Linked DNA regions of Callithrix jacchus. The protein of the gene in region 3 binds, or shares a complex with, the protein of the main gene of each other region. Links are inferred from orthologs where the notes say so. Each region holds a gene or a part of one and is shown on either strand. Other genes may lie near its edges.

The links. The genes of interacting proteins can lie anywhere in the genome.
Region 1: the proteins of MAPK1 (region 3) and DUSP6 are in contact, whole or in part, in a crystal structure (PDB 2FYS), measured with the Rattus norvegicus proteins. The link is inferred for Callithrix jacchus from reciprocal best matches to the Homo sapiens genes MAPK1 and DUSP6. Residues at the interface, in NP_446294.1 of Rattus norvegicus: Glu79, Glu107, Thr108, Leu113, Gln117, Leu119, Asp122, His123, Tyr126, Phe127, Gln130, Thr157, Thr158, Cys159, Asp160, Tyr314, Asp316, Asp319; in NP_446335.1 of Rattus norvegicus: Arg64, Arg65, Leu66, Gln67, Lys68, Gly69, Asn70, Leu71, Pro72, Val73, Arg74.
Region 2: the proteins of MAPK1 (region 3) and PTPN7 are in contact, whole or in part, in a crystal structure (PDB 3D42), measured with the Homo sapiens proteins. The link is inferred for Callithrix jacchus from reciprocal best matches to the Homo sapiens genes MAPK1 and PTPN7. Residues at the interface, in NP_002736.3 of Homo sapiens: Thr185, Glu186, Tyr187, Val188; in NP_001351807.1 of Homo sapiens: Arg124, Tyr125, Lys126, Ile128, Asp257, His258, Ser292, Ala293, Gly294, Ile295, Gly296, Arg297, Gln335.

What each region holds. Positions count from the first base shown.
Region 1 is NC_133510.1:91,812,864-91,820,915, reverse strand, and holds DUSP6 (dual specificity protein phosphatase 6), read right to left. Parts: upstream 4,557-8,052; 5' UTR 4,091-4,556; coding exon 3,691-4,090; intron 3,097-3,690; coding exon 2,659-3,096; intron 1,638-2,658; coding exon 1,330-1,637; 3' UTR 156-1,329; downstream 1-155. UniProt on the Homo sapiens protein: Dual specificity protein phosphatase, which mediates dephosphorylation and inactivation of MAP kinases. Has a specificity for the ERK family. Plays an important role in alleviating chronic postoperative pain.
Region 2 is NC_133520.1:29,189,983-29,198,212, forward strand, and holds the start of PTPN7 (tyrosine-protein phosphatase non-receptor type 7), read right to left. Parts: upstream 4,557-8,230; 5' UTR 3,791-4,556; coding exon 3,258-3,790; intron 2,352-3,257; coding exon 2,168-2,351; intron 1,870-2,167; coding exon 1,785-1,869; intron 1-1,784. UniProt on the Homo sapiens protein: Protein phosphatase that acts preferentially on tyrosine-phosphorylated MAPK1. Plays a role in the regulation of T and B-lymphocyte development and signal transduction.
Region 3 is NC_133502.1:193,753,516-193,760,958, forward strand, and holds part of MAPK1 (mitogen-activated protein kinase 1), read right to left. Parts: intron 3,930-7,443; coding exon 3,815-3,929; intron 3,442-3,814; coding exon 3,310-3,441; intron 1-3,309. UniProt on the Homo sapiens protein: Serine/threonine kinase which acts as an essential component of the MAP kinase signal transduction pathway. MAPK1/ERK2 and MAPK3/ERK1 are the 2 MAPKs which play an important role in the MAPK/ERK cascade.

The sequences.
Region 1 (8,052 bases), on a different chromosome or scaffold from region 3:
GCCCCTGAAAAACATTCCAGGAAAAGCTTTAAAAGTTAAGAACTTTGCCCTGCTATGCCTACAAGTCAAAGTCAATCCCTGAATGAAAAATTTCTAAAATGTGTCACTTCACATGTAGGTATAACTAATGAGATATTTTAAAAACAAAACACATCTAATAGCCAAAATAGTTATTTATTAATAATTTAAGGATTTACATTCTTATAATAAATTCCAGCTCAAAACTTTACACCACGAACATAATGGAGCAATTTAACTCTCCCTTCTTCACAATCAAATGCATTTCTCTTATCAAATGGGTACCCATGCTCACACACACACTTCCAGTTTTATACAAATTTTTTCTAAAGGAAAGAAACCAACCCATGTATTGCATTTGAGGTGACACTCCCTGAAGAATTTTATACAGAGGTAATATACTGTTTAGCACAGCTGAAGTTTAAGAAAAAAAAAAGTGAGCCCATGATTTGGTGTGTTTCCAAGATTATCCCCTTTGAGACAACACAAGCCAAAATATTTACAAAGGTAAGGCATAATCAAACTACATAAAGAGAAAAAAATCATGAGGAAGACACATGAAAAAGACTAAAGATTTCACCATAACAAGGTCTTAGCAATAATAGTGTCCATAACGATGTCATCAGAATTGGTAAAGTCAAGCATGCTGCAAATATACCCTTTGGATTAGAAAAGAGCACAATTTTCTTTCTTTCTTCTTTTAAGAAGTGGCATACTGCTCTTTCTCCCTTTGGATAATTTCTTTTAAGCCCATCAAAGGAAAAAACAAATAATTCAAACAAACACTATCAAGTGATTTAAGATAAAATATTTACAGTAATCAAATTGAGTATCAGATTTTTTATTTTCCAAACTGATACCACAAATACAGAGCTGAAATCTCTCTTTGGCTCCTCTATATGCAAAATTGAATTAGTCTTCATTGAAGACAATTATATAGTCAGTTCCAGATGCAAAAGGAAAGGCCTTACAAGGCCCTAAAGAACACATGCTCCTACCCTACCATTTGGTCCTACCCTATAAACCTGGAAGTCCTCGAATCCCAGTCCCTGCATGGGTAGGCTGTACACATGGGTACAGAGCAAACCTACTGCCTGTATCTATACAGCTTGTCCTGTTATTCCAAAGAGAATGGAGCAAATCTCTCTGTTAGTATTAACCAATTCCACACTTGGTAACCTTGTCTAGTACAGACAGCTGGTGTCATTTTGATACCTGGGGCCACACACAAAGAAAGCAGCCCAGCTGATGCTGCCAAGAGAAACTGCTGAAGGACCAGACACATTCCAGCAAGGAGGGGTGTGGGGTCTTTCACGTGGATTGCAGGGAGTCCACCTGGTAGACATTCTGGTTGGAAGGGGTGGTAAAATACAGCTGCTGTGCTGGAACCCGGTTGTCACAGGGGCTACTGAGTCCCAGCGTCCTCTCAAAGTCCAGCAGCTGACCCATGAAGTTGAAGTTAGGGGATATGTTGGATTTCTTCATCTTGACAATGTCATAGGCATCATTCATCGACAGATTGAGCTTCTGCATAAGGTAAGCCACAGTCACAGTGACTGAGCGGCTAATGCCAGCCAAGCAATGTACCAAGACACCACAGTTCTTGCCCCGGGCTTCATCTGTGAACACAAAAAGAAAAGCAAGATCTCAGTGTATTGAAAATATACTTTGTGAATGATCAGTCTAAAAACTGAACTTTAATAATAATAATAATTGTGTGTGGCTGTTGAGCCATACGGGCAATGGAAAATGTATCACTGAAATAAAACATGTACAGTGGACACAATTACATATTTCAGATGTTTTCTAAAAAGAGAGCTTTTGTATTAAGTTTCTGCCAACAAAAAACTCCTTAATGGGTGCATTCTTTGCCTCAGCATGTGAATACCAGAAACCCTGCAATATGTTCGTGAATGCCTTTTATACAGACAAGCAGACTGCAAGGGTCTATTAAATTATTCTCCAAATGTTGTGCAGTTAACAATGGAGGTATTCAGGCATTTTAAAAGAGAGAGGGAAGTCACAGGGGACAGCCCATTAGGAGGAACAGGATGTCGACATGGCTTGAAAATGAGTTCCTTTGTAATAGGAAGTGCATTACAATGCCTAGAGATTCACTTCTCCCAGGCTTCCAGCCCACAGTTCTTCCTGCTGGGCTCAGGTTACCCACTGTCTCACTGTTACCAGTATCACAGTATCATTCAACTGGGTAACACTCAGCATTCATACTGCTTTCCAACAACTAACTTGACGTCCTAATATAACTCCTAGGTTTTTAAATTATAAAGCAATGCTGGAATTCCTGTGTATAGTGAGTACTTCTATTTGACCCTTCCCCTGAGTCCAAAGACTGTGGGAAAAATCTGTTTTCCAATTATGAACGATCCCAACCCCCGTCAAATGACTGAATTCAAAGATTCAAGAAACAGCATTTCAAATAGGTGATCTGCATCCATGTCAAAAGGCAGGTTTTCTTCCCTTAGCAAGAAAATAATACAGAATTAAGGACGCTCTAGAAACATTAGAGACCTTTAGTCTGACAAATTAGCAAGCAGAAAGAACGATTAACAGCTTAAACTCTATGAATGGCTGGGAATTTTGCATTTAAATGTCAGAGCAACGACTACTAATTAGTCTCACCTATGAAAGAAATGGCCTCAGGGAAAAACTGGGACAGGTTTTGGCTCCAGTGATCCGAGATGGGGATTTGCTTGTATTTAAACTCTCCTGCGTTTTCAAAGAGATTCGGCAAATTGGGGGTGACATTCAAGATGTATTTGATGCCGAATTCCTCCAACACGTCCAAGTTGGTGGAGTCTTTGGCACAGCCCAAGTAGAGGAAGGGCAAGATCTCCACTGGGAAGGAAGGCTGGCTGTTGGACAGTGGGCTACCATCCGAGTCTGTTGCACTATTGGGGTCTCGGTCAAGGTCAGACTCAATGTCCGAGGAAGAGTCAGAGCTGATACGCAGGCCCCCGAGCCCCAGCACTGGTAACGGCGGCGAGCTGCTGCTACACGAACCGTCTAGATTGGTCTCGCAATGCAGGGCGAACTCGGCTTGGAACTTACTGAAGCCACCTGCCAGAACGAGAAAAGCAATCGTGTAACCCGAGAAGTCGTAGTAGTTTTCACAGCTTGTAAGAACCACCCCGGCGTAAGAAACACCACAAGCACCCTACAAACCCCCCCGACATACATAATAAGAGAAACACACTTTAAATGTGCACCCTTGGGAATGGAACGAACGGGCCCGCCTCGCCAGGGAACCCTTATTCGTTTAAATCCGGAAATATACAAAATGGCAACTTTTGGGAATATTTTGAGAAACTAGGATGTGCCAATCTGCACCCCCAACAACCTCTCCGGTCCTGCAAATCTTAATTCAAAATCGAACGATAGAAAACAGGGTGATGGTAGAGGATGTTCTGGGTAAGAAGGGCTCAGAACCCGTTAGAAAGAAACGGCCGGTAACCGCGGCCGGAAGCGGGTGGATTCTGCCCCTGCCCGGTTCTCCGGTGCGGAACGCGCGGGTCGCGGCCCCTACCTCGCCGCTGCCGGCCCCTGGGCAAGCTGCGCGGCTCTGAAGCGCCAGCGGCAGAGGCATTTTTAGTCCACGCGCCCGGCCCGCAGCCCTGCGCCCTGTCCCGCAAGCTGAGTTCCCCGGGCGCGTACCTTCCAGGTAGAACGCCCGGCAGCCCTCGTCCTTGAGCTTCTTGAGCAGCAGCCCCAGTACCGACTCGCCGCCCGTATTCTCGTTCCAGTCGCTGCTGCTCTCGTCGTAGAGCACTACTGTGTCGGTGCCGCAGCGCCGGGTGAAGCGGTCCCGGTCCTCGCCGCGCGTAAAGAGCGCGCGCACGGGCAGGTTGCCCTTCTGCAGGCGCCGCAGCATGATGCCCGGGATGGCCACGTTGATGGCCGACTCGATGTGCGACGACTCGTACAGCTCCTGCGGCCGGCAGTCCATCAGCAGCAGCCGCTCGTTGCCCAGCTCCAGCTGCTCGTTGAGCCACGCCACCGTCTTGCTGATCGCCATTTCCGACGCGAAGGGCACGGGTCTGAGCGTATCTATCATGGGGGTCGAGCTGCGGGAGAGGGCGAGGTGCCTACCAGACGCCCCTCGGGGCAGGCATAGGCCGAGCGCACCGCGCGCGAAGCTGCCGCTCTCAGAGCGGGGTTTAAGTCCGCCTCGCCTCACCCAAGCCGAGGCTGGCGATTGGGGAAAACGAGACAGAAGTGAAGCCAGAGGTTCTCTCTGCACCCGGCTGCAGCCGCTGGCTCTTGGTGTCAATGAATCTCTCTCAATGAAGCTGCCCAGACAGTTTTGTTCCTCCCCAGTGAATGAAATCCAATTAATTCGGACTCCGTGTTACTGAGAGGGAAGGAAAAAAATGTCTAGCGGCTCCTAATCCCTCCCTCCAAGGCTGCACCTCAAATCTACCCGGGCGTCTTTCTCCTCGGATTATTTAAGACTCGATTTGCTCACTATCCCTGGGACTCAGCCTCGCACACCCCCAGTGCGAGGCAGCTCCTCAATGGATACAAACAGCGAGCGTCTCAATGGATACATTCTCCGGGCCAGCCAATGAGCGAGCTGCGGAAGGGGCTGTTGCCGTGGGGACGGGCCGGCTGGAACAGGTTGTGTTGATGAATTGTTAATGAGTTTGTCATTCACAAAAACGGAAAGGAATTTCCGCTCCGGATAAGCCCCAGTGCAAACAAGCTGCAACAGCGGGCTCGGCGGGAGGAAGGAGAAAGAAGGGGAGGCGGCAGCAGAGGAGGAGCAGGGCACATAAGCCAGGGCACTTCAGTTGTCTCATGTTTCCTTCTGTTGAGAGTTCACACTTCGCGTCGGAACTTTTGCGCACCAATGGCGCAATTAGCATGCACAAAAGCCCTTGTTCGCGACGCTTGCGTTCCGGAGCTAGCTTTAGGAAAACTTGCGCTGACTTTTTGTTCTTTGTATCCCCTTCTAACTCATTTGGACCCAAGTTCGCTTTAATCCTCCTCGCCCCAACCCCCCTTCTCTAGGCGGTGTGTGGTATTTGTTTGCCAGCTTTAAAGCCCCAGCTCTGTTTGCTCTGATGTTCTTTTAGCCGAGACTGTGTTGGGGCTGGTGAACTGACGGGGCTTTAGTGACCGATGAGGTGTTAAATGCTAATCCAACATCTTTCGAAACAAGCCGGGATTCTGTTGAAACATTTTAAAGCAAACAAATGTTTGGTTGTCCAGAAAATCAGAAGAAAACCTTTTTTCTTAAAGTAGCATTTTATCTTCTTTAAAACAATGTGGAATACAGAAACAAACTCTTAGGGCAGTCCAGTACTTTTACTGTATTCCGCTCCAGCGGCGTGGGGAGTTACGAGCCATTGTTCTGGAGATCTAAATCTCTTCCCCCGACCCCACCACCATCACCGCCTGCTGGGGGGTCGCGTTGGTTAATGATTTCTGGGCAAGGAGCTCGGCTTCTGACGGAGGAGCCGGTCTGGCGGGACTGCCTGGATGAAGTGTGCTGGGACACGCAGGGCCGGGCCGGTAGTCCCCGCCATTGGCGAGGCGTGGGGAAGTCCTCCCGCAAGGTCTGTAGGCTCCGGGGGCTCAGCGGGGGGGGGGGGGGGTCCGCTATTGGTTACAGTTGGCAGGGAGGCATGCCAGAGGGGGCCTCCCCAGCCCCCTCCTGCCGCCGCCTCCTCCCTTTGTCCAGCGCCTGGCACTCCCTAGAGCACCAGCCGCGCCTGCGCGCTGCGCTCCCTGCCACCGCCCCGCTGCCCCCGTCTCCCCACTTGGCAGGCACGAGGCTTTGCGCGATCCAGTGGACGGGTGCGGGGCTGAGCGGGGAACTCCGGGTTCCATAGAGATCTGGGGCGGGTGGTGGGGGGAGCAAGGACGAGTGCCTGCCGGGACCCCCCCCCCCCGGCCCTTGGCTCTCAAGGAGTCGCGGGGAACGTCCCTACCGCCCTACAGAGCCAGCAGGTAACTTGCGGAGGTGCTGGCCAGGCCAGCTCGCGGCGCTTGACTCAGGCGCCGCGGGGCGGATGGACTGGAAGCCGGATGGAGGCGTGGCCGGGTGGGGGCCGCGGCGGCGGGGAGGCGCGTTCCCGGCGCGCACAGCTCTATTGTTATATAAAAGTGCCGAGGCCTGACCCTCCCGAGCGGAAAACCACCTGCGAGCGGCCGGCTTGGAGCGGGAGGGCTGCGGCCGGAAGGCGCGGGCCCTAATCCGGCATCCCCTCCCTAAACCCCGGCGGAAAAGAGGCCGCGCTTTGTCCCGCCGCTGCCTGGGAGGCGGAAGCGGGGCAGCCTCCCGGCGGGGTGCGGCTTTGGGTAGCGTCCCTCGCAGCGCTTTGCGCCCACCCAGCACCGCGAGGGCGCCTAAGGTCGCGGGGTCTCCCCTCGCCCGACGCCCCGCACCCACGGGCATGCCTGCTGACGCCCCTGCTGCAATTTGCATTTTTAGTCAGCCGCCTCTTCCCTGGTTTGGGAAATGTAGGCTAAAAAAAGGCGGCTGCGAGGCCCGGGTTGCCAATTTTGGAGCTCTGCTGCAGGCAGGCCGCCCCGGGAGGAGCGTGTTCGACGAAGGTGGAGATTGCCGCTCTCCTCTCCGCACCTTTTTTGGGCAGCCCTTGGAACTAAACTCCTGTATTTCACTGGATATCTTCTAGTTTTCAGCCGGGGGAGGCCTGCGCTGGAGTTGACTCCCCCTGTCCTCCCCGATCTGTCACAGAAGTTCCCATACCAAGACGTTTCAGTCATTGGGACCTGGGGACAGTGAGGGAAGAGGCAGGGTGTCCTGAAGCGGAACTGGGAAGAACAAACCTGTTGGAGGTGCAGCCCAGGACCTCCAACAGAAGAGAAAAGGAGGGAAGCTGGGTTTCCACTTTGCCTGTTTTAAAAGTGCAGCTACCTGAATATGACTATAGATTCAGGAGGACACATCGAAACTAGTTTTACCCATGCTTCTGAACTCTTTCGCCAGGGGAATGCCAGTCTTTCCTGGCATATTGATTAAAGTGACGTTCTGACCGCTCAGTCCTAGAAATGCTGCGTAAAGGGCTTCTGGAGTGAGACGACCGTCGTTTGAATTATGTATCCAGCTTCTATCTAGGTGTGCGCCCTTAGTTAAATCATCTAGCGGTTGTAAGTTGCAGTCTTCCACGTCGGCATAATTAATATAAAACTGTCTGCTTCATGTTCCCTGTGACGACAAAATGGGTAGGGTGAAATGTCCTAAAATGGTGATGGGGTGCTATTAGCTGATTTGAGTTAATTTTTTATCCTTCTGAATTGAGAACCTGTGAAAAGGCCTCGGTTGGGGGGATGGTTTTGGCATTCCACAGATGCCCTTTGAGGCTTGCCTCACAGCACGCCTGGACTGGCTCATCTGCAGCAAAGCCCTCTAAGGTACTACCCTAACCGATTTAATCCGTTCTAATACAGCTGTCAAGCAAAGGAGGTGTTCTTATAGACCAGGATCAAAATTCTTTAGCAAGGTTATCAGAATGGACCCAGCTACATTTCTAACTTCTCCCTACGGTCACCTTTGAAACACCTTGTTCACCAGCCACAGCAAACTGATAAAATAGATACAACAGTGTGTACTGGGCATGATAGGTACCATCTTGTTTCTGTGTTTACGTGCATAATTTCGGACAGTCTTCAGAAAACCCATGTAAATTATCCCCATTTACAAAGATTAAGGAATTTGCCCAGGGTCACACAGTAGCAACGGAAAGTGTCAAGACATGCATCCAACCCCTTTGCAGACTCTTAAGGATACCCACATACACGGATTACAGAGTGCTGTGGATACTATACTCATCTCCATGTGGTATTCCCTGCCCAAATGTGAAGAATTTCAAGGTCAGCATTTTGAATTTTGACTTTCTGGCTTTCTCCAGCCTCACGTTTTCTGTTGCCTCCTCCCCACGGATGGGGTCAAAGATCAAAAGTTAGGCTGCTTTCCCAGCTCCTTTAACACATCAGTGGGTTTCTTTGCAAGCAACTCTTCATCAGTCAACCATTCAGTAAATGTTGCAT
Region 2 (8,230 bases), on a different chromosome or scaffold from region 3:
AAGTTTCTAGCCTCAAGCAATGCTCCCATCTCGACCTCCCAAAGTGCTGAGATTACAGGTGTGAACCACCATGTTTGGCCGCCACTGAAGTATTTTATACTCAGACAGTAGGGAGCTATAGAATGTTTCTGAGCAGGATAGTGACGTGATCAGAGGAATAGCTTGGGAAGGTTAACTGAGTGGTGCTGTATAGGATGGACTATAGAAAGGGAATGGAGCAGCGGAGACCAAATGGGAAGATGGAATATTAGATATAATACTCTTTTTTTTTTCAGACAGAGTCTTGCTCTATCACCCAGGCTGGAGTGCAATGGCATGATATTGACTCACTGCAACCTCCACCTCTCAGGTTCAAGCAATTCTCTTGCCTCAGCCTCCCAAGTAGCTGTGATTACAGGCACCCAACATCACGCCCAGCTAATTTTTTTATTTTTAGTAGAGATGGGGTTTCACCATGTTGCCCAGGCTGGTCTTGAACTCCTGACCTCAGGTGATCCATCTGCCTCGGCCTCCCAAAGTGCTGGAATTACAGGCATGAGCCACCACACCTGGCCTAAGAAATATATAATATTCTAATAGATATAGTGATTCTATCCTTGAGATCAGTACGGGTTTAGAATAAGATTATGCCAATAGGAATGGAAAAAGAGATGTAGAGGAAGAAGAATTTGTTTTCTAATGGTGAATACGGGATTCAGATGAGCAACTTGTCAGATATCACACAGCCACGAAGTGGGACTAGGACTCAAATCCTACTTAGCCGTGAGGCATTTGGCCTCTGCCTCTAAGGGGAAAGAATTCTCTAAATTTCATTTCTTCCTCCATGCCCAAACATGAATGAAGAAGACGGCTTGTGAGGAAAGGAGAAGAGACTCTCACTCTGCTCATACCAGCCTGCTCATGGCCAGAGGGTGTCCTGGGGACCACAGGAATCTCAAGCAAAGGGATTTTTCCCTTTTCTGGTGGCTGCAGTGCTGATTAGAACTAGGCCAAGAACAAGGGCTACTCCTTCCCGTGGCTTGGAATAGCACTAATAGCCCCTTGATCCGCCCATGCAGGCAGAGGGCACTCCAGGAGGGTTAGCAGGAGGCAGCACTCGTGTGCTCCAGAGCTAAAGCCTCAAGCTGGGAGTAGCTTCCCTGTAGGGTGAGAGGGGGAGGGAGGCAGAGGCCCCGGGGCTTCGTGCCTGCCTCTGAAAAATAGAAGGTGCTGGTTCTGTGTCTGTCAGCTTGCAGGGTCACCCCCTCCTAGCCCAGTATCCTCCATCCCCACCCCCACTACTGCTCTCTTGCTGGCTGTTGCCCTGCCTCCTCCATCTGACTTTCTCAAAGCCCTCTCTCTGGGAGCCCTCTTAGTGGTCCTTCTTTCACTGCAAGCCTTGGCTGGGCATTTCCCATGAGAGAGAAAAATGAGGAAGAGGGTTTGGTGCAAGTAGCTAAGTTGAATAGCTTAGGTAAGAGATTCAACTTCTCTGTGCCTTAGTGTGAAGGCACAGCGATTTGTAAAATGGTCATCATAATATCGCAGTACCAACTTCATGGGATCGTTATGAGAAATTAGTGAATATAAAGGACTGAGAGCAGGGCCTGGCCCAGGGTGCACATCTGCAAACATTATTATTGCTGCTGTTGTCATTCCTGCTCCTTCTTCCCCCTTTCTCTGCTGAGAGAAGATGCCCCAAGTAAGGTCATCCTTCCCTGGCTGAAACGGTGTACCTTGCCTTCTGAAGTTCTCCAGCCCCAGGGCCTATACCTAACTCCCTTCATCCTAGCTGCAGATCTTACTTGGCAAGATGGTCTTGTATCGGTCCTTGGAGGCATGGCCAGGGATGTCCAGGTCTTCGGGGCTGACAAAGTTTGAAGGGATCTTCTGGCAGGGGGAAGAAATGAGTGAGCAGCTGACTCCCCTTCCTAGCCGCCTTTTCTCCTCTTCTATTCTTTTCTAGAACAACTGGGCTCTGGCTGTTCCTTCTTGATATTAATATGTAGGCCTAGATGGGGTGGCTGCAGAAGGCGAAGCCCAGGTGGAGCCCCCTCCCCCAGCCCTAGAGTTCTCTTTCCTAAGGGTCCAAAGAGGAGACAGGCCGACGGTCCCTGTGAGAGAATGGTTCCAGCTGGCTGCCTCTGACACAGAGCAGAGCAATTCAGAAGGGACCTCAATTTCTTACCAAGAATTCTTCTTCCAGCTGCTTGGGGCTGGGTGGCTGGCACTGAAGGGCCCAGCGGGTAAGGGGGTGTCCAGCAGTGCGCAGAAAGTGTAGGGTGACCTCCCGGGGAGTGTTCACGGAGCAGATGGGTTCTACAGCCCCCAGGGACCGGACATCCAGCATCAGAGCCACATTGGAGCCCCGCCTGCAGGCACAGTCCACACTGCCTAGTGAGCACCCAATCGTATTTGTTTTGCTTTTTATCTTTTCTTTTAGGTATAGGGTCTCTCTCTGTTGCCCAGGCTGGAAGGTGATGGCACTATTATGGCTCATAGCAGCCTCAAACTCCTGAACTGAAGCGATCCTCCCACCTCAGCCTCCGGAGTAGCTGGGACCACAGGCACATGCTACTGTGCCTGGCTAATTTAAAATAATTTTTTTTTTTTTTTTTTTTTTTGGTTTTGAACTCCTGGGCTCAAGTGATCCTTCTGCCTTGGCTTCCCAAAGTGCTGGTTACAGGCATGAGCCACTGTGCCTGACCATACTTGCTTTTCTTACAAGTATTACTGTTATGAGGCACCTCTGAGGGGGCCGCTTCTTGTCTTTACTTTAACCTGGAGGCCCAGTGAATTTAGGGTTCAGGCCCCTGCTGTATACATTCCCCCCCGCCCCTTCCTAGCCCAGGCTGGTCTCCAATTCCTGGACTCAAGAGATCCTTCCACCTCAGCCTCTCAAAGTGCTGAGATTTTGGGCATGAGCTACCATGCCGGGCTCAGCCCTGTGTCAGCCAGACAGGGCAGCCTTGAACTCAACTGCTCCTTCCAGCTGCCTGCCTCTTCCCACTCCCAGCCAGGCCCTGTGGCTCTGACGTGCATCCAGCACCAAGAAGGCCACTGGCCTGGCCTGGAATTTAGGGATCAGGCTCAGGGTTGTTAAGAAACTCTGTGCTCCAGACATGCAAAACACATGCAAATGAGCACTACTGGTTTCCTTTGCATACTGGAGTCAACAATTGGACTATGTTGTCAGAGCTGGAGGGGCAGGTGGAGGAAAGGGAGGAAGGGAATGGGGCTCAGGGCCGGGAAGACCCCTCCCCCAGGGGAGATCTTACCTCTCCTGTAGCCGCACATGCTTCTTGGCTGGCGTTTTGGCAGGCAGAGGCTGGGTCATGGCTGCCCCCAAAGAAATGGTCGGTGGCTGGGCTGTGGAGCTCCCTCCACAGGCCTGGACCATGCTGGGGTGGGGTGCTGGGCCCAGGAGAGGCTCACTCAGCCATGAGGTCTGCCTGAAAGACAGGGCCCTCCGCTGCTGTTCCCTGGCCTGCCTGATTGGCCAGAAGGAGGCTTCCACGCCCAGGCCGGCTTTGCGCTCCGTTTTCACTGGGGCATCTCCTGTTTCCCAAGAGGTAGCCTCATGTTCACTACAGGAAGGACAGGATCTCTTTGGTGGGACCCAGGGCAGAAGGCAGTCTGGGGTTAGAGTAACGGCAAGATAAAGGTAGAGATTGTGGATGAAGATAGGAAAGAAGCCAAAAGGAGGAGGAGAGAGAAGAGAGAGGCCACACAGGGCTCTGCGGGTCCAAGTGGAGAAGGCAAGGGAGGAAATGGAAGACATGTGTTCTCTAGGACGGAAGGGAGAAAGCATGCAGAAGCCATCTCGGAGCTAACCAGTGGGCTTTCTCCTCAACAGGGAATGGCAGCTGCAGCAGTGCTGGAGATGGGTGGGCAGCCAGGCAGGCCAGCTCTAGGACCCCGGCAGGGTCCTCTCCTAACTGCTGATGTTCCACTCTTAAGTCCGTTTCTGGCTTCTGGGGTGTCTGTCCAGGGAGGTAGGCTGGGGGTGTTTCCTTCCTCCTCCTGCCCATCCCCCGCCTCCCGCCTCTGTAACCGTCACAGGAAATGGCCTCACCAAGCCCTTGAGCGACAGTGCATGGTGAGGCGACAGCTGGGGGCAAGACAGGGGGCATGCAGATGGTGGGACCATCTCCTCTTGGGGACAGTCTGTATCTCCCAGAGCCAGGGTCACAGCGGGCAAGGTGGTGGGGGTGATTAGTCAGCAAGGCAGGGATGGAGGTAAGGGGACAGGGAGGGTCCGGCGCAGGTGTGGGTGGTAGAAAGAGGGTCTCTGGCAGCAGAAAGGGGGTCTTCAGCCTCCGCTCTCTTTGCAGCTCCCTGTGGCTTCCGTGCTTACCCCCTTCTGGGGGACATCAGGGCTGTGAGCACCCATTCCCCAGCCAGGCCCTGTAGCACCCCACTCGCCCTCCCATACTCCCTCCTGCAGATGCCCCCTTATATCCCTGGAGTTCGCAACCCCCAGGGCCACAGGACTCCCGGTCCCCCTTCAGATACTTACTGAAGCAGCTGTGGCCCCCAGGCTGCCTCTTGCCAGCTGTCTGTCTGTCTGTCAGTCTGTCTTTGAGGGCTGAGAAGGCTTCAGGAAGCCAGCTTCCTCCCTCCGCCCCTCCTTGCTGCCACCCACGCATACCCCAGCTGCATGCTGCCCTCCTGTGCCTGCTGCTGCTGCCACCAGGGGTCGGGTGCCTCCTGCCTCTGCCCTTATGGATCCCAAGGCCCTGTTTCCTGGGAATGGGTGAGGGGCTAGGCCTTTCTACCATCCTGCTTCCCCCGGCTTCCAGACCCTCTCCCGTCCTGCTGTGTTTCTCCTCTGGGTCTTGACCTTGGCCAGAGGCTTTTTCTGCTTCTCTGCCTCTGCCCCACAGCCCTCTCCCTCGAAGCCCTTGCTGCTTCAAGCCTTGGGAATTCATGGCCAAGCACAGACCACATCTTCCCAGAGCAGATGTGACACAGACTTGGGGTGGGGAAAAGGAGGAGGCAAGAATCCATGCCTCACAATGGGAAGGAAAGGCCCCGGCCAGGCCAAAAAGGTCGTCTCCATGCCCTGTGCCACAGCCGGGCTCTCCGTAGGCAGATAGCAGAGTCCACTTGTAGGAGGGAATCTGAGGGGCTTCCCCTGGGCCCCCAATCCCCTGCGGGCCTCCTCCCAGAACCCTGACATCTGCTTGGAAGACTTACAGACAGCAGACAGTCTCTGGCCCTCACAGCAGGGGACTCCCATGTCCTCTTCGCTGCTGGGGTGCCTGGGACCTGAGGGGTGGCCCCCAAGTGCAAGACTCCTCTGCCCCCTGCCCCTGCCTGGCCTTGGCAGGCTCCTTGTGGGCCAGCAGCCCAGCTGGTTCACGCTTGCTGCACGCCTCCTTTTACCTTGTAATATTTCAAACACCCTTCCCTTCCCGGCCCCCAACACGCACAATCCACGTCCTCTTTCTTCCTCCCACTTCCCTGATTCAGCTGTCAAATGGTGACAGCAAAAAAGAAATGAGGTACCATAGGCACAGGGGTAGGCACGCTGGAGGGGGTGATCGGGAGGGGCTGGCTTTCTGCTGGCCCCCTGGGGAGGGCTGGATATGAAGGACAGCAATAACCCTCTGAAACTCAGGAGGCCTCCCAGCACCTGCGCTTGCTCTTGGCAGTGGGGACAGGGGCTGGCTCTTTTCTGAGTCCCTTCATGGCCAGCAGACCCTGGTGCCTTCTTTCCTGCAGCCTGTGCTCCTCTCTGGAGTGGGTGGGTTTCCCTGAGGAGGAGGCGGATTAGGGCTGGGAAAGGGGTTGGCTCCTGTGCTCAGGACAGAGTGGAGAGGAGCGGGAGCCTGAGAGCCCCTACTGTGCTTGCAGGCAGTGACCCAGCGACTGGCCTCTGCCTCACCCCCTACACCAGTCAGTGTTTCCACCGGTGGGTAGCAGGGGCCCTGGGGGTGCAGGAGGGGGCAGGTGGGGGCAGGTGGGGGTTGGAAAGCGGGCTGGGCTCTGGGCCTATGTTGATTGTTATCAAGAACAGGAAGCTAGGACACCACAGGGGTGGGAGGAGGAAGCGACAAAGCCCTCCCCACACAGGTCTGCCTAGTGGCCCCAAGTTTCCAGGGTCCAGGCCCTGTTGGCTGTGAGCCCACCCCTTTCCCCCACAGACTGAGGCCTGGCAATGGTTGAGCAGTTGGAAGCTGAGCTTCTGAGCAAGGAGCAAGGAAACTGGGAGCTAGGAGATGGGCAAGATAGTTGGGGGCGGGGGTAGTGGTTGGGCATTAGGCAGGACCTCAAGGATCCCCCGTTCCCTCTGGGTGGGTCTAGGGTGGAGGGGACAGTCACTCTTTGCCTCCTGCCCACTCTCTCTTCTCCTGTGCTTAGGGATGCCTGGACATCCATGGAGGTGTGTGGCCAGAGCTCGTGAGGGCTGAGGGTGCCCACTGCAGCCTCAGAAGGGACAAGACACCTGTCGGCCTGCACCAGCCCCTCCCCAGCCTGGCCTGGTGACTTGGGTCACCCCTCTCTGACCTGTCTGGAGTGGACTCTGCTCCATCTGGGCTGCTGGGAGGCTCCTGGGAGTGACTCCCTCTCCCCTCCAGAACTTCCCACTCCTGGGGCCGAAAGGTCCCAGCAAGCTCTCAAACTTCCATCACTCGAATTGATTTGTGTTCCTGGGTTGAGATTTAGGTTCTAGCCACCCTCGACTCCAGAGAAAGTATAGTAATAGTCAGAAATCAGAAAGACCTGTGCATGTGAGTCTGAATGTAGCTTATTAGCTGTGTGACCTTGGCCAAGTCGCTGAGCCACCCTGAGCCTCGGTATCCGCCTCGGTCTCCTCCTCAGCTTCCTCCCTCTTCTGGGGGATGTTCACAGCGCCTCCCTCACCAGCTTGTGCAGTGCTTTGCTCATGGAGAGCTCGGGAGTCAGAGGCCAGAGGAGCGAGGAGCTGGAGGAGCTGGCTGGGGAAGTGGGCCTGGGAGCCTGGGAGCGGCACAGGGTGAGGAGGTCATGGGTCTCACCGCTCCCCAGCCTCCCTCTTCCTCCTCACTGCTGACTTTCTCCCCAAAGCCAGGCACTTCCACCCCAGCACTGAGGAGGTTCCCGAAGGAGTCACTCCTGGGGGTCTCCCAGCATCCTGGATAGGGCAGTTTACTCCAGGGAGGACAGAGAGGGGCGTCCCAAACCACCAGGCCAGGCTGGGGCAGGGCTGGTACAGGGCATGACACATCATGAGAGTCAGCCTTATTCCATCTGAAGCTGTGGGGGGTGCCCTCAGCCCTCCCGAGCTCTGGCCATGCACGTCCTGACTCTGTTTCCCCCTCTAGTGACCCCTAGTTCCAGGGCTGTGAGCCACAGCTCCCTGTCCCCAGTATCAGAAGCCCCCCAGGGAAAGCCATTAAATCTGGGATTCCCAGAATTCTTTGCTCCTTGCCAGCCCCTAGCAAGTAAGGAGCTCCTTGCTGGGCTGCAGTTGGCCCCCAGAGGCAAGGGCCACCACCCTCTAATAATCCAAGGGGAGGATCTTGGGGAGAGCGTCAGCTGCTGAGGGCCAGCATTCCTGGGTCCCGCACACTTCACCGGCTCTGCTCCCTCCTAGCTGCCCTCCTCGGCTCCTCTTTAGAGAAGCACCAGGATCTGGGGTGGCTGCTCCTGCATCCTTCCCTCCCCCAGAATCCTAGGCCAGCCTGAGCCGGCTTGTTCTACCCCAACTTTACTGGCCCAGGCTTGTTCCTGTTTGTGTCAGGGAGACAGAACTGGATCTGGGAAGCCCCATCCTGGAGGAGGCAGGGACACAGCAGGGGAGACATGGTGATCGGGAAGTGCTGTTAGGGGCATGGGATGGGTCCAGGCTGACCACAGTGACACCTGTACCCCTATCTCAAAGCTGCACCCCTGTGCCAGGCCTAGGAACTCCTGCTACCTTTTGGGTGAAGGGGAACGTCCCTTACCCCTTGCCCCTGGCTGAGAGGACCAGCAAACCAGCTCTGCTCAGCACTGGGGTGCCGGGGCCAGCCTGCCGGGAGGTCTAGGAAAGTGCCTGGTTCTTCGCCTGTGGCTGGACTCAGGACCTTGGCAGGAAGGTTTTAGGGTAGAAGAGAGTCCCCCGCTTTCTTCCAAGCCCAGAGCCAGCCAAATGGACATCTCTTCCCCAATGTGGCCTTTTCTTCCCAGGGGCTCCCGTCCCCTCCCACTCTATGTTGTCCCTGGACCCACTCATGCATCCATCCAGACAGGAGTGTACACCCTCATGGCCCACGTTTGCACA
Region 3 (7,443 bases):
AAAAAAAAAAAAAAATTGGCCACATGTGGTGGTGCATGCCTGTAGTCCCAGCTACTTAGGAGGCTGAAGTGGGAGGATCGCTTGAGCCCAAGAGTTTGAGGTTGCAGTGAGGTATGATCATGGCACTGCACTCCAGCCTGGGTAGAAGAGCAGGACTCCATCTCAAAACCAAACCAAACCAAAACACAACCATCTCAACACCTCCAAAAAAAGAAACAAAAGGAAAACTGACACCCAGAGAGGTTAAGCAGTTTGTCTAACAGTCACACAGCTAGTAAGAGACTGGTTTATGGACTGAACACATGAGGTAAGGCTACAAAACCGGTATTCCTAACACCTGATGCTCTAGTGCTCCCTGCAGCACCACCAATTCCCATTTCTCCACTTTCTTAATGTATAGCTTTTCCCTACTTCTTCATTATATTCACCCAATACGAGCACTGAAAACAATTTCCTGGATTTTAGTGGCTAAACAGCTGGGAGTGGCAGTTCACGCCTGTAATCCCAGCACCTTGGGAGGCTGAGGCAGGTGGATTACCTGAGATCAGGAGTTTGACTAACAGGGTAAAACCCCATCTCTACTAAAAATACAAAATTAGGGCCGGGCACTGTGGCTCATGCCTGTAATACCAGCACTCTGGGAGGCTGAGGTTGCAGTGAGCTAAGTTTGGGCCATTGTGCTCCAGGCTGGGTGACAAAGCCAGACCTGTCTACAAAAAAAAAAACCCAGAAAACAAAAACCAAACCAATCCCCCAAAACCCCTCAAAACCAAAATACATTATATAATTACAACCATACAGACAGAAGCTCGCACACATTAGGACAAAAAAAGTGAAAGGTTTTGGCCGGGTGTGGTGCCTCATGCCTGAATGCCAGCACGTAGGGAGGCTGAGGCAGGTGGATCACCTGAGGCTGGGAGTTCGAAACCAGCCTGACCAACATGGAGAAATCCCATCTCTACTAAAAATACAAAATTAGCCAGTAGCGTATGCCTGTAATCCCAGCTACTCGGGAGGCTAACGCAGGAGCATCGCTTGAACCCAGGAGGCAGAGGTTGCGCTGAGCCGAGATCAAGCCATTGCACTCCATCCTGGGCAACAAGAGCCAAACTCTGTCTCAAAGAAAAGAAAAAAAAAAAGTGAAAGTTTACTGTCGGATCCTGGTGATCAGGAGTAGTTCTTACTCCCTTACCTATTCCTCCTATATGACATTCTTCTATACATTTATATGAGAGATTAAAAGAATGTTTCTCCCATCTTCAAAAGAAATTCAATTCTAAACAACCAAGTATTTCTAAACCTTGACTCAGGTCAATACATAAAACCAATTCAACATTTAAGAAGACAGTTGTTAAATATACAAATACACATATATTCATACATGCATTCACACATATAGATAAAATACCAAGTTAGAAATAGCTAAATTTATAATACAAAACTGGATAAAAATGCTGTAAGATCATTAACAATAAGTACTGATGTGGAAAAGATATTTAAGACACAATTCTATTAACAATGACACATTTAGGGAATAATTATAAAAGAATTTCACCTTCTTAAATATTTCTACAATTTCTAAATTTTTAAAAAAGTTAACCTTTAAATAATTAAAAAATAAATTATAGAGAAAATATGCACACATATGTAGATAAAGATACAGAAGGACAAGTACCTTATTCAGATTCCCTCCTCCACTTTTAAGGTATCCTGTTTTTATAAATTAGCCCACCTAGATAATCCACCCAGCTAGATAGATAATCCAGGATAGTCTTCCTAGCTTAAAAGTCAGCTGATGGGCTACTCTGGGCATACCACACTGGCCATGGATTAGCCTTGCTCTGTAAGGAGCAGTTAAAAAAAAAAAAAAGTCAGCTGATGAACAACCTTGATTACATCTGCAAACATAATTGCTGTTTGCCAGATAACCTAACATAGTTATAGGTTCCAGAGATTAGAATACAGTCATGGGGGTGAGTGGAGGTCATTATTCTGCCTATTGTGGTTTTATAATAGCATAAAGTTTTAAAAACTAGCTGCCTAATATATTTAACAGGTATGCATTAATAAGGAATAAAGGATAATACAATTATTTAACAAAGCTAACCTGAAAAAAAAGGATAAAAATGGAATGTAACTATTTTCTTTTACAGTTGCTCTAAAATATCTCCACCTAACCTAAGGTCATGAAGATTCTCTTGTTTTCTTCTTGAAGGTTAATAATTTTAGGTCTTATATTTAGGTTTATGGTCCATTTTTAGTTTTGCAAATTTTGCATATGGTTGTCTAATTGTTCCAGCACCATTTCTTGAATAGACTGACACAAGCAATGAAATGAATTTTTCTAAATCTCAAATGCAGTATGCTGAACGTGAGAATCTAGACATAAAAAGGTTACATACTCTATGATTCCATTAATACGACATGCCGGAAAAGGCAAAACTATAGGGATAGGTATCAGATCAGTGATTGCCAGAGATGGGTTAGAGAGGGACAACCGACTACAAATGGCACAAGGCAACTTCTGAGGATGATGGGAATATTCTGTATCTCAATTGTGGTGGTAGTTACATGACAGTTTATGTTTACTAAAACTCAATAGGCCCACACAACTAAAAAGTATGAATTTTATTCTGTGTAAATTATTCTTCAATAAACCTGACTTTAAAAACTATCAAGTGACAAGATAAAAAGGTGTAATTTGTTTGCAGGGTCCTAGACTTCCCTAAAAGTGTGACCTTAGGCTGGGCATGGTGGCTCACACCTGTAATCCTGGTACTTTGACAGGCTGAGGAGGGCAGATCATGAGGTCAGGAGTTCAAGACCAGCCTGGCCAGCATGATGAAAACCGTCTCTACTAAAAATACAAAAAAATGAGCCGGGCATGGTGGTGGGTGCCCGTAAGCCCGGCTACATGGGAGGCTGAAACAGGAGAACTGCTTGAATCTAGGAGGTGGAGATTGTAGTTAGCTGATATCGGGCCACTCTACTCCAGCCTAGGTGACAGAGCAAGACTCCATCTCAAAAAAAAAAAAAAAAAAAAAAAAAAGTGACTTTAGTGCAAGTTAAAATTAACAAAGAAACCAAAAGGTGGAGAACTAGACGGTCATTACCAGGCTCCCTTACTGCACTGCCACTGTTTCCAAAAAAAAAAAAAAAAAAAGGGAGAGACAGTAATTCAGAGTGAGCACTAAAGAAAGCATTATCCAATAGCTACAGGCTCACTTTTCAGGCTAGTGACCTAACAACTGAACAAATAAATGCGAAGCTAAGCCTTAGAAAAAAACTAATCAACGACATAACATTTACCTTTCGAGTCAGCATTTGGAAACAGCCTGTTCCATGGCACTTTATTTTTGTGTGGAAGAGAAAGCAAATAGTTTCTAGCTTTTAAATTTATTATACAATTCAGGTCTTCTTGTGATGGGGATCCAAGAATACCTATCAGATAAAATAATTAGCTGTTAGTTATCAAGACAAAGGCAAATGACTACACACCATTAACTGTGGGTCAGAATGAACCCTGGTAATTAATGTCTTATCACCACTCCCAAAGCTTACCTTTCTCTTACGTTTTTACACAGAAGTCCTTAAGACTTTTTTTTTTTTTTTTTTTTTAAGGTCAGTGTCCAGGAAAGACATTGGTTGGGAGGTTATTTGCTTAACATTTTTAATAAGGGAAGGCTAAAAATTCACACCTACCACAGGCTAAAGAGTTATTAGAACTCTTCTTAATTTAATGAAGTGACTTTGATGTAAGCTGTAGGCAGGCAAAGTGAGTAAATCTAGCTACTGAAGGGCTCGGGAACCTTACCCAGAATGTGGTTCAGCTGGTCAAGATAATGCTTCCCTGGAAAGATGGGCCTGTTAGAAAGCATTTCTGCCAGAATGCAGCCTACAGACCAAATATCAATGGACTTGGTGTAGCCCTGTAGGAGAAAGAGAAAAGACTGAGAATGATATCTGGTCATACAGGATGAGATCTTCCTGTGTGACAGGTGCATTGCTGATGGGAGTTTGAACTTCTCCGTTGACTCTAAAACTCAGACAGACAAGTAAGCAGCATGGAAAAACAAATAATAATTTGGCTTTCTTATGAGAGGCTGAACAGTTTAAGATTATGTGATTTTATTTTTCTCTTCAAAGTTGATTAACATGGGCCAGGCGTGGTGGCTCATATCTAATCCCTGCACTTTGGGAACCCAAGGCGGACAGATCACTTGAGGCTAGGAGTTTGAGAACAGCCTGGCCAACATGGTAGAACCTCGTTTCTACTAAAACTACAAAAAAATTAGCCAGGCATGGTGGTGGGTGCCTGTAATCCCAGCTACATGGGAGGCTGAAGCAGGAGAATCACTTGAACCTGGGAGGCAAGAGACTGCAGTGAGCCAAGAGCATGCCACTGCATTCCAGCCTGGGTGACAGAGCAAGACTCATCTCAAAAAAACAACAGTTGATTAACTTGTTAGATTAGAATTTCCAAATTATACATCAGTCCTTTTTTGAAACAATTTGAGAGACAGATTCAGAATTGTCATAAATTGGAGCTGGAAAAAAAATTTAAAAAGTCTAAAAACCTGGATTTCTGGGTTGGGGGGAAGTATGTGCTAGCTCCATCATATTTTACCAATCTCTTATTAAAAATATTCTCACCCCAAAACCTAAAATGCAATAAAAAAGAAAAAAAAAATATTCTCAGCCGGGCACAGTGGCTCACGCCTGTAATCCCAGCACTTTGGGAGGCCAAGGTGGGTGGATCACCTGATGTCAGGAGTTCGAGACCAGCCTGGTCAACATGGTGAAACCCTATCTCTACTAAAACTGCAAAAGTTAGCTGGGCACCTGTAGTTCTAGTTAGGAGGCTGAGGCAGGAGAATCGCCTGCATTGAGCCAAGGAGGCAGAGGCTGCATTGAGCCAAGAACTGCACCACTGCACTCCAGCCTGGGAGGCAGAGCAAGACTCCATCTCAAAAAAAAAAAAAAAAAGAAAAAAAAAAGAGTTCACTGATATGATTTCAGATTCCACAATGCAATTAACCTTTAAGAAACTACCACTTGTTCAAATTGGGGGTAGTATCAAAGAACAGCCATAAGTAGCTGAAAAAACTACTAAAATTTCCCTCCTTTTATCAGCTACATACCTGTGTGAAGTTTTCCTTATTAACTTAAACCAAAACAACATATTTGACAGACTGAATGCCAAACCAGATGAGAATCCAACTGTAAGCCAGACATTAAACAGACTTGCAAAAATAAAAACAATGCCACTCTTCTCACTAAAAGTTTTTTATTTTATTTTATTTAAAGACAGGGTCTCACCCTATCACCCAGGCTGGACTGCAATGGTGTGATCATGGTACATTGCAGCCTCTATCTCCTGGGCTTGAGAAATCCTCCCATCTCAGCCTCTTAAGTGACTGGGACCATAGGTGCATGCAACCACGCCCAGATGATTTAAATTTTTTTCCTTTTTTTTTTTCAGATGCATTCTCGCTGTGTCACCCAGGCTGAAGTGCAATGCCTCGATCTCAGCTCACTGCCACCTCCACCTTCCAGGTTCAAGCAATTCTCCTGCCTCAGCCTCCTAAGTAGCTAGAATTACAGGTATGTGCCACCACACTCGGCTAATTTTTATATTTTTAGTAGAGACAGGGTTTCACCATGTTGGTCAGGCTGGTCTTGAACTCCTGACCTCATGATCCATCCACCACCCCCTCCCAAAGTGCTGGGATTACAAGGGTGAGCCACAGCGCCCAGCTGATTAAAAATTTTTTTTGTACACAGTCTCACCATGTCACCAGGGCTGGTTTCAAACTCCTGGTGATTCTCCTGCCTTGGCCTCCCAAAGTGTTGGGATTATAGGCCTCAGCCATCATACCAAGCCTCACTAAAATGTTTTTATTGTAGAAAATAAACTTATTCTTATGAAAAACACAGAACTTATGTTAACATATAGTGGATTTACTATTTAAAAATTAATACATTTTAAAGTTTCATACTGTAAATAATAGATATAAAAAAATGTGTGTGGGTTGTTAATTTTTTTTAAGAAGACAGTCTCACTCTGTTACCCAGGCTGGAGTACTGTGGCACAGTACTCAGCTCACTGCAACCTCCACCTCCCAGGTTCAAGCAATTCTCATGCATCAGCCTCAAAGTAGCTGGGATTAGAGGCATGTACCACCATGCCCAGTGCACTTTTGTATTTTTAGTAGAGGTTTAGTTTAGGTTTCTACATGTTGGCCAGTCTGGTCTCGAACACCTGGGCTCAACTGATACACCCGCCTCAGCCTCCCAAAGTGCTAGGATTACAGGCGTGAGCCATTACGCCCAGATGGTCCTTGATAATTTTTAAAAAATGTAAAGGGATCTTGGCTGGGCCTGGTGGCTCGGTGGCTCGTGCCTGTAAACCCAGCAATTTGGGAGGCCGAGGTGGGTGGATCACTTGAGCCCAGAAGTTTGAGACGAGCCTGGCCAACATGGCAAAACCCTGTCTCTATTAAAAAAAAAAAAAAAAAAAAAAATACAAAAATTAGCTGGGCATGGTGGTTCAAGCTATAGTCCCAGCTACACAGGAGGTGAGGAGGGAGATCACTTGAGTCCAGGAGGGGGAGTTAAAAAAAAAAGAGGCCAGGTGCGGTGATTCATGCCCGTAATCCCAGCAGTTTGGCTTTGGGAAGCTGAGGTGGGTGGATCACTTGAGGTCGGGAGTTTGAGACCAGCCTGACCAACATGGTGAAACCCCATCTCTACTAAAAATAGAAAAATTAGCCACACCCGTAATGCCAGCTACTTGGAAGGCATAAGAATCGCTTCAACCTGGGAGGCAGAGATTTTTTAAAAAGGGGGGGGAAGGGGAGAGGGGAAAGGGAAGGGGAAGGGGAAGGGGAGGAAATGTCAAGGGATCTTGATGAGAATGGCTACCTTATACATTTCTTGCAACTTTTACTTTTTTATTCTTTGAGACAGAGTCTCACACTGTCACCCAGGCTGGGTGCAGTGGCATGACCTTGGTTCACTGAAACCTCCACCTCCCAGGTTCAAGCGATTCTCGTGCTTCATTTTCCTGAGTAGCTGGGATTAGAGGTGTCTGCCGCCACACCCAGCTAACTTTTTGTATTTTTAGGAGAGACAGTCCCAAATTCCTGGTGGGTGATCTGCCCACTTCGTCCTCCCAAAGTGCTGGGATTAGAGATGTGGGCCACTGCACCCAGAAATTAAAAAAAAATTTTTTTTTTTTAATTTTTAACTTGTTCTGCTAAACAAGTTAAACAGAGCAACTTTTCTGAAAGCTGAAATTCTATAAAACATTACAAATGTGTAAATAGAGTTCTTTAGCTTCCCAAAACTGGGACAATATGAGTTTTTAAAAAAAAAAAAAAAAAAAAAAAAGTGCTGGGCAAGGTGGCTCACATCTATAATCCCAGCACTTTGGGAGGCTGA